Saccharomyces cerevisiae S288C: one gene and its partner. The gene in region 2 interacts genetically with the main gene of each other region. Each region holds a gene or a part of one and is shown on either strand. Other genes may lie near its edges.

Region 1 (3,609 bases), on a different chromosome or scaffold from region 2:
CAGCTTGATGGTTGGAAAGATAATATGGGCTCTGACCTGAACAATGATACAGGTAAGTATTTGCAGGTGTCTATACACTCTCAAATTTGGTTCGATTATGACAAATGGCCAGGAACGGAAAATGACTCGGACGCCAGAAGCCAACGTGACTGGATACGGTACATCAATGAAAAAGTTCTTAAAACCATTTGTATAGATCTGAATAACGTGACCACATTCGATGGAGATCTAGTGTTCAAGAATAAACTGGGAGATGTTGTTGGCATGGAACCCATTTGTTTTAATTTGGCTCACCGACAGATTAATAACCTACAGTTCAAAATTTTAGTTAAACCGTCTATTTGGAAAATCGTAAAAGTTTTGAAAAAATTTTGGAATAGGGATTTTGAATCCTTAAATATAAAATCGAATTTAGATATGACTATCTTCAAGAGAAAATTTGGCACGAGGTTTAATTTATTGAAACTTAATGACGAAATCTTAGATTGGAAAGATATTATTGATTGGGAAAAAATATCGGCAACGCCCCTTCGGATGATTCAAAATATGATCGATGGAATATCTCTTCAAGGATTTACATTGCGGGACTCCAGTTCTGATGGATTTCATGCCGATATGAGACTGAATCCGATCACGATTCTTGGAGGGGTGGACTGGCTTCACCTTCCGCCAGGCACGTCAATCCCTTTCATCAATTGGGAAATCAAGCTACCGGACTGTAACGGTGAGCCTGCTATCGCAATTCCAACCTTGTCTTGCTTTAACGAACCGATTAATCTGCACCACGACAAGGATAATATCGTCGTCTGTTTACAAAATGAAATTGAAGGTCCTCTGCCCGATGAACTACTATACCAAGAATGTCCTCAAAATAGTCTTACACCAATGAGCCAAATAGTGAATGCGGTCCTGAACCAGAACGAGACTGTTACGTTCGCAGCAAGAGGCCATGTCCTTGAAGATGGTATAGATAATAACTCATTGATTCCAGCAGACATGCTGGAGGATATTTTCCAAGAAGCATCGTTTATTCCCATTACTACCAATGCTACGTTTAACTCCAGTGAATTGATTCAAGAGTTTCAGATCAACGATCTTCAGCTACGGTGGGCAGCGCGCAAAAAGCTCAGTCTTGTGGGGACATTTTTAGGATTCTTTGATCTATCCTTCTACGAGACGCACCAGCAAGACCGAGTTCGCATCGATACCATTCGGGGACAGATCGATCTGTACCATAACGACATCAATTTCTTAAACTTACCCATGAAGCAATGGATCAACTCTTCATCGCACATTCTGCACGATGAGGACACAGGAAATACGCAGATGAAGCTTCAATTTGATCTAGAAAATGACGACATGGAAGTCGTCAATAGCTTGGAACTAACACGAACCCTGAACGAAATACTATTCCAGGGTTTTACAGTTATTCACTTTAATGCGACGATAGATGCGTCACTTACGACGGCATTGGGCCCGTGGGTTCTCACCGGGTTAGCCGGAGAGGGTGACACTTTGGTCACGTGAACGTCTATCTATTTATTTTTATAACTCCGGGATGTCATTGCCGGTGGTCCGAAAATCGGCAAATAAGGAAATAAGGGAAGAATATGCAGTAGTCAAATCATCAGTGTTCTCTTTGATACCTTTCAGGGCTAGGAATAGTGGGGGTGGAGTATAATATCAAAAACCGGACTTAACATTATTGGTTCGGTTGGAATTGGCTATAGGCAAACTAGTCTCCGGCATGATATATAAATGACAGCCTGCAATTGTATGTTACTACACTCTTGACTTGTCGACTACAGTCGCTGCTCAGGCACGAGAATAGGAGGTAAGAAGGTAACGTACGTATATATATAAAATCGTAATGACAAAGATTAAGGTAGCTAACCCCATTGTGGAAATGGACGGCGATGAGCAAACAAGAATAATCTGGCATTTAATCAGGGACAAGTTAGTCTTGCCCTATCTTGACGTTGATTTGAAGTACTACGATCTTTCCGTGGAGTATCGTGACCAGACTAATGATCAAGTAACTGTGGATTCTGCCACCGCGACTTTAAAGTATGGAGTAGCTGTCAAATGCGCGACTATTACACCCGATGAGGCAAGGGTCGAGGAATTTCATTTGAAAAAGATGTGGAAATCTCCAAATGGTACTATTAGAAACATTTTGGGTGGTACAGTGTTCAGAGAACCTATTATTATCCCTAGAATTCCAAGGCTAGTTCCTCAATGGGAGAAGCCCATCATCATTGGGAGACACGCATTCGGCGATCAGTACAAAGCTACCGATGTAATAGTCCCTGAAGAAGGCGAGTTGAGGCTTGTTTATAAATCCAAGAGCGGAACTCATGATGTAGATCTGAAGGTATTTGACTACCCAGAACATGGTGGGGTTGCCATGATGATGTACAACACTACAGATTCGATCGAAGGGTTTGCGAAGGCCTCCTTTGAATTGGCCATTGAAAGGAAGTTACCATTATATTCCACTACTAAGAATACTATTTTGAAGAAGTATGATGGTAAATTCAAAGATGTTTTCGAAGCCATGTATGCTAGAAGTTATAAAGAGAAGTTTGAATCCCTTGGCATCTGGTACGAGCACCGTTTAATTGATGATATGGTGGCCCAAATGTTGAAATCTAAAGGTGGATACATAATTGCCATGAAAAATTACGACGGTGACGTAGAATCAGATATTGTTGCACAAGGATTTGGCTCCTTGGGGTTAATGACATCTGTGTTGATTACCCCGGACGGTAAAACCTTTGAAAGCGAAGCCGCCCACGGTACAGTAACAAGACATTTTAGACAGCATCAGCAAGGAAAGGAGACGTCAACAAATTCCATTGCATCAATTTTCGCGTGGACTAGAGGTATTATTCAAAGGGGTAAACTTGATAATACTCCAGATGTAGTTAAGTTCGGCCAAATATTGGAAAGCGCTACGGTAAATACAGTGCAAGAAGATGGAATCATGACTAAAGATTTGGCGCTCATTCTCGGTAAGTCTGAAAGATCCGCTTATGTCACTACCGAGGAGTTCATTGACGCGGTGGAATCTAGATTGAAAAAAGAGTTCGAGGCAGCTGCATTGTAAACTTACTCAATGACAGATTGATTTATTTATATTATATATTCCCTTTTTATCGAAAAACTTTTAGTATTTTCTACTCGTAACATATGATCTTCTGTTCTCACTGAAAATTTTTCTTTCTTCTTTTCCCTCTTCGCAAAAAGAAAATGCTGAAAAAATTTGAAAAATTTTCAAATGATGAGATGTTTAGCTTAGGAAAAATATAATGTAAAGATAGTTTTCAGAACATTTTTTATTGGTTTTTTTTTTTAAAGATTCATTATCATCTGGAGTTCGTTACAACCTACACAGAGGACCGATATACACAATGTCAAAGGAGGATTTCGTTATTAAGCCTGAAGCTGCAGGTGCTTCCACTGACACTAGTGAATGGCCATTACTTTTGAAGAATTTTGATAAGTTATTAGTCAGAAGTGGTCATTATACCCCTATCCCAGCTGGTAGTTCACCACTAAAGAGAGACCTGAAATCATATATCAGCTCTGGTGTCATTAATCTAGATA
Region 2 (8,428 bases):
CATGCTTTTGCCACCGAAAGGAGGGTGAGGCAGTTTTATGTATATACGAACGTCGCTGGCCACGAGGGGGGAACTTTTCTTTTTATCGGCATGAGATAAAGGGTAGATACGAAATTAGCTAGACATTTAAAATATGAAAGCAAGGAAATTACTAAACTTCGAGATGTTCTTTTCCTTAAACTTCTAGTTGACAGCTCAACATTGATGATAGGGCTTATTGTAGTACCTATTTTATTTGCAATAAAGGGCATAGTAGTTGGCGTGCAAAAGGTAAAGAAAAAGTTTGGAAAGCACTCAAACACAAAGGACCAAAAAGAAGACAAGGACGAAGATAAACGACAAAGTATTTCTCAAAGAAAACAGCATACAGAATGGCCAATAGAGGAGAACCGGATCCAAAGAAGAGCACCGAATCAATCTGCTCTCTGACTAAACCGCAGCTTTATTCATTATATGATGATGACGTCGTGAGATCGGAAGATAACGAAATTTACGAAGAATTGAAACGCTCTGTCTCTATAGATTCTACCAAATATAGTAGAGATCAAACTATTGATTCGACTTTTTACTTGGCCCATAAGGTTGGCGGCTCGCTGCCAAGGAACACAGTATCTTCTAATAATTTGGAAAGGATTTTATCAGCATCATCCATTCACGAAAACTTTCCGTCAAGAACCAGACAAACTCGTCAAAATATTCTTCATTACCTGCAAGCTGTATTAATTTTGTCATTGAGCGGTTTCGCATATCATGAACTGTCCAGAAACTTGCACGATAATCATCTCTTACATCCAGATTTTGCATCGAGACCCCTTCTACTGGGTGTCAAACTTTGTAACTGGCTATCCAATGGGGTTCTGCCAAACTGGTTAGGCTACGGTGTTGAAGGACTGTTATTTGGTTCTGTTGTACCAATTCTGGATAATATTTTTCAAACAGAGGTTGTTAAGAGCTCTGTCCACCATGACAGTTTGACCTCTGTTATTAGAAGTATCAATGCCATGTTGGGAGTCACATTTGGGATCAGGAAAATACAGTGGAACTCCTCTTTGCAGGCGGCAGGGGCATGGGGGCTTCTGAATATTATACTGTGGTTGTTTTTTGACGGCTCAATATCCATGTTAATGAGCTGCATCTGCATTGGGGTGGGTTGTTGTATCTCTTGCTACAAAGATATTATCGACGGTTCCCAATTTTTATATTTCATGGATTTTTATTTCCTTGGTTCTCTAATGTTTGGAAAACTAGGAAGATATCTATATTCTCATTAAAGTCGAAATTCTGACGAGTAAATATTATTAATTAGAAGTACAAGAAGATAACATCAGAATGGCTTATCGTTTATATATAACTAATTAACGTAAACACAGTCAGCCATATGGCTGTAACACTTGACATTTCGAGAAATCACATAATAAGCGTTAAATATAAGAGACCCTTCTCTTTCCCTAAAAAAATATAAAAAAGTACAGGTTGTCTATTTATCTAATGGGTGATTCAGTATACAAACTGGACGACGAAGAGCTGTGGTTCCCCACTGGCGTTGAACTTGTACTACCACCTCCAATAGTACCGTTATTAGACGATGGTGGTCCACTCGATATACTTCCCTCCTTTTGTATCAACGTCGCATTATCTACTACACCAGCGGTTGAGGCAGTTGACGGACAAGTGCTTATCCTTCTTTTTATTATATCTTCTCGTAGTTTGCTGGGATTTGTTAATGGCAGGTTATTCTTTCCATAGTTTATTGGATCATTGTTTTGAATGCCAGCTTTCTGCAAAGCGTAATCACCACTGTCGAAATATTTTCTTTTCTGCATGGTATGCTTAAAAATATCTTTCTTTGATGGCAGCTTTCCGTACATTTTGTATAGCTTCATTTCGTTGGGCGAGAATTTGCTGGTATCAATAGTTCCGCTTTCGCCGTTATTCAGTTTAGTTAAATCTGGGTTACTACTATTGGGAGATAAGTTTTCATTCGACATAGCGGCGAGTTAGATATTCAGGTCCCTTTCTTTCGATAAAAATACCCACTTTAATGAGAAGCATTTGATGGTTAATGGACTTTTTTACGTTCTAGTTGTGATGAGGCCAAGCTATCCAGCCAAAGGGGGCTCAGGCTTCCATACTAAAATTTCAGCAAAAGATCGTTCAATACGTGTGGTGCCCGGGTAACAACAAGCCCTGCTACTAATAGCACCATAACGATTAATGTTGGGTAAATATCCACGGGGATACCTAGCCGAGTGGTGATTAATGAGACTTGTATTGGAACCATGGCATGCTCACTAGGATACGAGTCAGACAAGACCTGGAAAGTCACTAGTATTCTCGCGTAGTCTGACTTAGTTCCCTGAAATTCAGTGAAACGTGGTATTGTGATAGTTTGGAGATTATTAATGGAAATTGGATGTATTGCTGACCAACACACTTTAATCTGATATGTTTCGTCTCGCTGTAAGTCCGCCAGTTCAATATACGTAGTATTATGCAACTCCAAGTCAGTGGTATTGGCCTCGATAGTGATCTGACTCATTGCTTCTCCCGATAGTGATATGGAAGATATCAAGTTTACATCTCTTGCATAAGTAGAGCTGTCTCTTGGTTTTTTGAGGGGAAAGTTGTGAGGAACCTTATATAAGATTGATTCTGTATTAGCGTGTACAAATCCGATGAAAAATACAATTGTAGCGATAAACCAGTGAACATTCTGAGGCCGGACCATCTTCTTTTTAAAAATTGAACGAACCTATGTTGGCTTAGTGTGTGCGAATACCAAGGGTCAACAACATTGCTGTGCAGTTAATCTTCATATTCATGTAAACTTCTCATTTTTTCATTGCATATTAGTTTCCGTCATTGATGATCTTTTATAACAATAGTGAGAGGAAACAACTCCCTCTACCTTCAAATAGGGTCGATTCGGGAATATGATTAAAGAGACACCGAATCAAACGCATACATCCTCACAAGCATTTAGTGAGAAAAAATGGCGAGGCCTCAAAATCATCGCCGCAGTAATTGGACAGAAAGAGACGATAATGATGATTATCTGTTTCAGCGATTTCTAGAAGAATCGGAAACGAGGCATAGTAGAGAGCCTTCACCTGTAACCGAGCAATCTCAGCAAGAACTACAGCAGGATGTACAGCAAGCAATCGATGGAATATTTAACTCCCTTAGGAGGAATATGAGTTCTACTTCAAATATAAATAGAGCAGCTAATATGGATGCAACCACAAACGGAAATGGAGGAATCAATGCAGACACTATAAGAGCCACCAACGCCAATACGGCCGATTCCCCATTCACAGCAAGGCAGCAGAGCCCTCTCAGAACTTTTCTTAGAAATTTATTCATTTTAGATTACTTTATTGGGCTAATTTTATTCCCATTTTCCGTATACAACATATTAAGGAGCGGGTTCAATTCAATGACCTTTTCAGAGAATGATTTTATAATCGAAATCGTGGGATACTGGAAATTTGCCAAGATATTTGGTTCTGGTGGCACGACATTAATAGCATATAAGGATACTGGTAAATTAGGGTTGCTTGGAAAGTTTCATAACATCATTGTATTTTACTCTTCACCTGTGATAAAACATATTATGAAAAGTAGAGATGGCAATGAACCCAACTTAAATTGGATAAGACTAATGTTCGCTAAAGCTTTCGAGCTATTTGTCAAAGTCTCTACCATTCTGATCTATTTAGCTTATGGCGTAAGTGGTACCGTTTACATGGTTACCGCTGGGTTTTTCTTCGTATTGTGTCTATTATTCACTGTTATTAGAAGATATAAAGGTGTCCATCGAATGTTGGTGAGCCAAAGGATTACAGGGCCAGGCGTATTCTGATGATGAATCCACGATTATAATTTGTGTATTTGCTTATCTGTAGTAGTTTCTTTCGCATGTGGTCGCTGTATGAGACACTTGACACCAGAGGACGTTTATTTTGAAGCAACTCCTCTATGTAAGAGCTGTTTGCAAGCTTTCCGTACTGTGACACTTGACCATCATAACGTATATTAACGAACTACTAGGGTTGTTGTGGGCTTCTTTCAAAATGGGAATTGTTAAAAACTATTGATAAACGCCACTCACTACATGCATTGATTGTAAGATTTAACTATCCTTTTTACCTGATGTCTCGAAAATAAGCGTTTACAACAACTACTATTTTGCCGTTCTAGTTTAAAACATGGACGCTATAAAACACTAAATATATCAGAAGATTTCACTTAGACACAAAAGAAGGGGGTGAGATCCCTTATCTGTAGTAAAATGTATACAAATTATACGGACATTGTTTCTTTATTGTATCCATGTATACATGTGGGGTCTTGACACTTACAGGTAGTGAATGCTAGACCTTCGAGACTTAAGGTGAGCAATGTTTTAAAACTTTTCTTTTTTTCCCACTTCAGTGGAGTGTCACCCCGGGAAGATATTCACCTATGGTCAATGTAGCAAAAGATAATAAAAAAATATGTATGGCCAAGAATTTATATGATTCTTTCATCAATTAATTAATTAATTATTTGGGGTATGTCTTAAATAACAATAAAAAGGTGTATAAAACAATCATACTGCTTTAATGGGAAGTATGGTTCCTATTACGAACGAAAATAAAAGCTGTTGCGTGGAAATTTTGTAAAATAATGGTTATGATGACTGGTAAAAAAAGAATCTCTATGCTTCGCTAGATTTAATATCTATCAGTTCATGGGAAAATGCTTTCCAGAGCGGACTTGGAGGTGACACCATTAACGGCAGCAATGGACAACAAGATTTGGGCCTTAATTGGGGATAGGTAACCAGCACCCACAGCGTTCTTTGGAACATCTTTGTTGTCAATAAAGTTTAATGGAGTGTTAGCTTGAGCATATACGACTGGGATTTCAGTGCTTTCAATAGTAGATGAGGTTGAGTTGGTAGAACCAGAAGAAACAACAACCAAACCTTGAACGGCAGAACTCAAGGAGTCAATCAAACTGGAAGAGTAACCACCGTCATAGACAATTGGAACAATTGGAACACCGTTTTCTAATAGACCATAAGGAGTAGTGAAGTTACTGTATTCCTTTCTGATAATCGAGTCAGAAGAGATTAAAGTTGGCTTAGAAGCATCGAAGAACCATTTAACTTCGTCTTGGTCATCAACGATAGCAACAGGCAAACCAGCACCGTAAGAACAAGCAGTAGGTGGAGTGAAGACACCGGAGTACACTAATTTGTCAGAAGTGACGGACAAGACACCACGTTTGGTAGCGTTCTTATTGTTAGCGACTGGAATGGCATAAGCGGAATCTTCAGTGACAACAATAGGCTTTTCGGTGTCAAAAATGATAGAGAAGAAGAATGAGACAGCTTCCAAAGATTTGGCGTTGGCAACAACAACGGCACCGGCGGATGACTTATCTTGGATCGTTTCGTTAACAACACGGGCAACATTGTACAATTCGGTAATGTTCAAAGCAGAAGAACTGTTGAATAATCTGGTGTAGTTTGTGTGGGTCAAAGAACTGTTGGTGATTGGTACTTGACCACCTGTTACAATGATTTGTAATTGACTGCTTTCGGCAGTAGTAGTATTGGTAGTACTGTTTGTTCCATTAGCGTAGGTAACATTGCTAGAGTTAGACCCATTCCAGGCCGGCAAAGTGGAGTTGATATTCTTACTGTGAGATGCCTTAACAGCCCTGTATTTGAATAGGTTTTCGATTGGGCTTGCGACGACGGCAGATGAACATGCCAAAAGGGCAGATAAAACAACTTGGAACTTCATTTTCTATTACTGTATTACTTAACTGACGATTAATCCTGTAGATGTTTTTTGAGCTGATTTTTTACAAGCAAGAAAGAAATAGAAGGGATATTCAATAAGAGCAATAACCCAAGAGAACACAGCAGAAGTTCTAGCAAATGTCACCCTCTATCAAGCTTTTTATATTTCAGAGATGATGGTTTTTTTAGTGAGGTACTTTTTTCTCCCTTTTTCCTAATTATTACTAATAGGGTAAAAGAGATATAATAGGCGCTTTCTTTCTTCAAAGTATCGATGTTGAACTGTAGCATCGAGAAGCCGGCTTCACTCCCTACTGAGATTCTTCGGAGTTTGAAGATGCAATAGAGTACGAATATATCCCTTTTCAGCTCCTGAGCCTCTCCATTAGGAAAAGTATAAACTTTCGTCAACTTCTGCGCTAATTTTCGGCCCCTTCTTCGAGAAGTTTCGATTCGTAAAGGGTAAACTATTTAGACAGTGTACCCTTTTTGGGCTCATGTGTCTCTTGGACACATAACATGTCCACATAACATGCCCCGATTGGGTAAAAGTGAGAGACTTTTTCGCCCGCCGGATCTTCCGCGGATGACGAGAAAACTTCGCAAAAAAAAAAGTCACAAAAAAGTCACATAATAAACCAACGAATGGCCGATGTTTTACGGGTAAGCAAAAGTTTCGACGGTGAGAAAAAAACTCATGTGTCTTCAATCCCACATCAAGGCCCCTTCCTCTGGAAAGAGATCCCAATTAGGGATACCCGATCCGAGAATTTGAACATTGTGAGAACATTGAATCAATGATACCGAATGTTTAGCCCTCGCCGCCACATTACCCAATAGGGAATTGAAATGGAAATCGACTACTGAATTTTCCTATTGCTCATTTTTCTCTTTCCTTCAAACCATCGTCGGTAAAAGAAGGGAGTGAAGGGAAAAGCCAAAGATGATTAGGGATTCCGTCAGACATTCCTAAATTTGCCCTTTTTAAAAAATAGCACGCTTTAAGATATGCGTGTGGAACTAGTTCATCATGGTTTGACCTATCCCGAACGCTTTTGTTTCTAGCAATATTTGGTTATGACGATCTTTCAAGCGACGATTAATGAACTTGAAAGTGTAGGTTTTACAGTGATCGGTTGTCGAACCTCCGCTATCGTCTTCCCTGAGTTTCATTCAGTATTGTAAGACTGGATCATCTTATAATTTATAGTTCGAAAGGCCGAGAGGAAGCGCGTGATGAAAGCACGATCTTTTCTCTTTTACGACGTGTTAATAACAAAAATTATATATTCTTACACGTGTGTATGTTATTTCATATTTTTTTCAATATGGTCGATATATATAGATACTTCCTCTACAAAATCGTCCCCTGATCTGCCATCTCTTTTACCTTTTTCAACTACATCAGCCATTTTTCTTGTTTTTCAAGGTAAAAAAACCAGCCATCACCGAGATTGTGCTATTGTGCGTGGATGTATGGATTAAGGGCAGCCTGTAGGTTACTAGGTACATTGTCTTCGGAAAGGTGGTCGTTCAAATACTTCAAGGAGACATATGATAAAGCTGATGTCTATTTTGGTAATTTTTTTCCCGAAAAAAGTGCAGTTATTTATTCATAATGTGCGTTCTACATCCATAGATAAATACTTGAATAAAGAGGAATGTCCTTAACGCGTCCCTACAACGCATTTTTTCTTGTCAAATAGTCAAATCTGGAGTAAGTGTAGCCAATAAAAGGTAAATCTTCCTTGACTGGCGCACTTCCACCTTGCTTTGTCATCTGTTCCCTTTGTTTGGCAGCTTGTGCCATAGCTGGGGAATCTGGAACATTCTCCAACTCATCGGTTGGGAAGAACCTAGTATCGGTGATGGAGCTCAACTTTGGTATATACGGTGCTTCTACTTGTCTGATTGTATTCCAATCAACACCGCGAAAAAATGGATGACTTTTTATTTCATCTGCACCACCATGTCTACCAAGTCTTTGGTCTGCATGAGTTAATAGTCGACGGATTAGATCTTCGGCTTCATAAGAGATATGAATATCATCAGGAAATTGTAGAGTTTGCTCAAAATTCATGATTTTTCTGTACGTTTCCTGTGGAGTTTCGGAACAGAATGGAGGCCAACCAATCAGACACTCGTACATAATTGCTCCAAGTGACCACCAATCACACTCTTGCCCATAACCTTGGTATAAAAATATCTCAGGAGCAATATAATCTGGTGTACCTACGGTAGAATATGCCATTAAACGACGTGATTTTCTCCATGTCTGAATTTGTTGCCTGTTTGACATTGTTAGACTAATAGAATCCACAACCATTGTTTGCCTTTTATTTGCAGTATCGGTTGTATTTGCATTGTAAGTACCTGGCTTGGAAATACCATTAGTTGCCTCATCTTGTTGCAAAAGCTTTTTATAGTAGTTTGAGTCGTGAGTTTTATGGAACCCCGTAGACAACCCGAAATCAGATAATTTTATATGACCTCTAATATCGATCAAAATATTATCTGGTTTAATATCTCTGTGAATGAATCCTAATTTATGAATGGTTTCGATGGCCAAAATACACTCAGCCATGTAAAATCTAGTAACATCCTCTGTAAATAGTTGCCACCTGATTAGCATGG

Evidence for each region. A genetic interaction does not mean that the proteins touch.
Region 1: mutations in ASI2 (region 2) and IDP2 together harm fitness more than expected from each alone (negative genetic interaction), as found in Saccharomyces cerevisiae (one large-scale study listed by BioGRID).

The regions. Positions count from the first base shown.
Region 1 is NC_001144.5:502,721-506,329, forward strand, and holds IDP2 (isocitrate dehydrogenase (NADP(+)) IDP2), read left to right. Parts: upstream 1-1,870; coding exon 1,871-3,109; downstream 3,110-3,609. Other genes in the region: TAG1 (Tag1p), read left to right, coding at 1-1,527; pseudouridine synthase CBF5, read left to right, coding at 3,414-3,609. UniProt on the Saccharomyces cerevisiae protein: May function in the production of NADPH for fatty acid and sterol synthesis.
Region 2 is NC_001146.8:333,912-342,339, reverse strand, and holds ASI2 (Asi2p), read left to right. Parts: upstream 1-2,992; coding exon 2,993-3,862; downstream 3,863-8,428. Other genes in the region: YNL155C-A (uncharacterized protein), read left to right, coding at 205-429; NSG2 (Nsg2p), read left to right, coding at 372-1,271; IGO1 (phosphatase regulator), read right to left, coding at 1,482-1,988; PGA1 (Pga1p), read right to left, coding at 2,132-2,728; YGP1 (Ygp1p), read right to left, coding at 4,731-5,795; serine/threonine protein kinase CBK1, read right to left, coding at 7,473-8,428.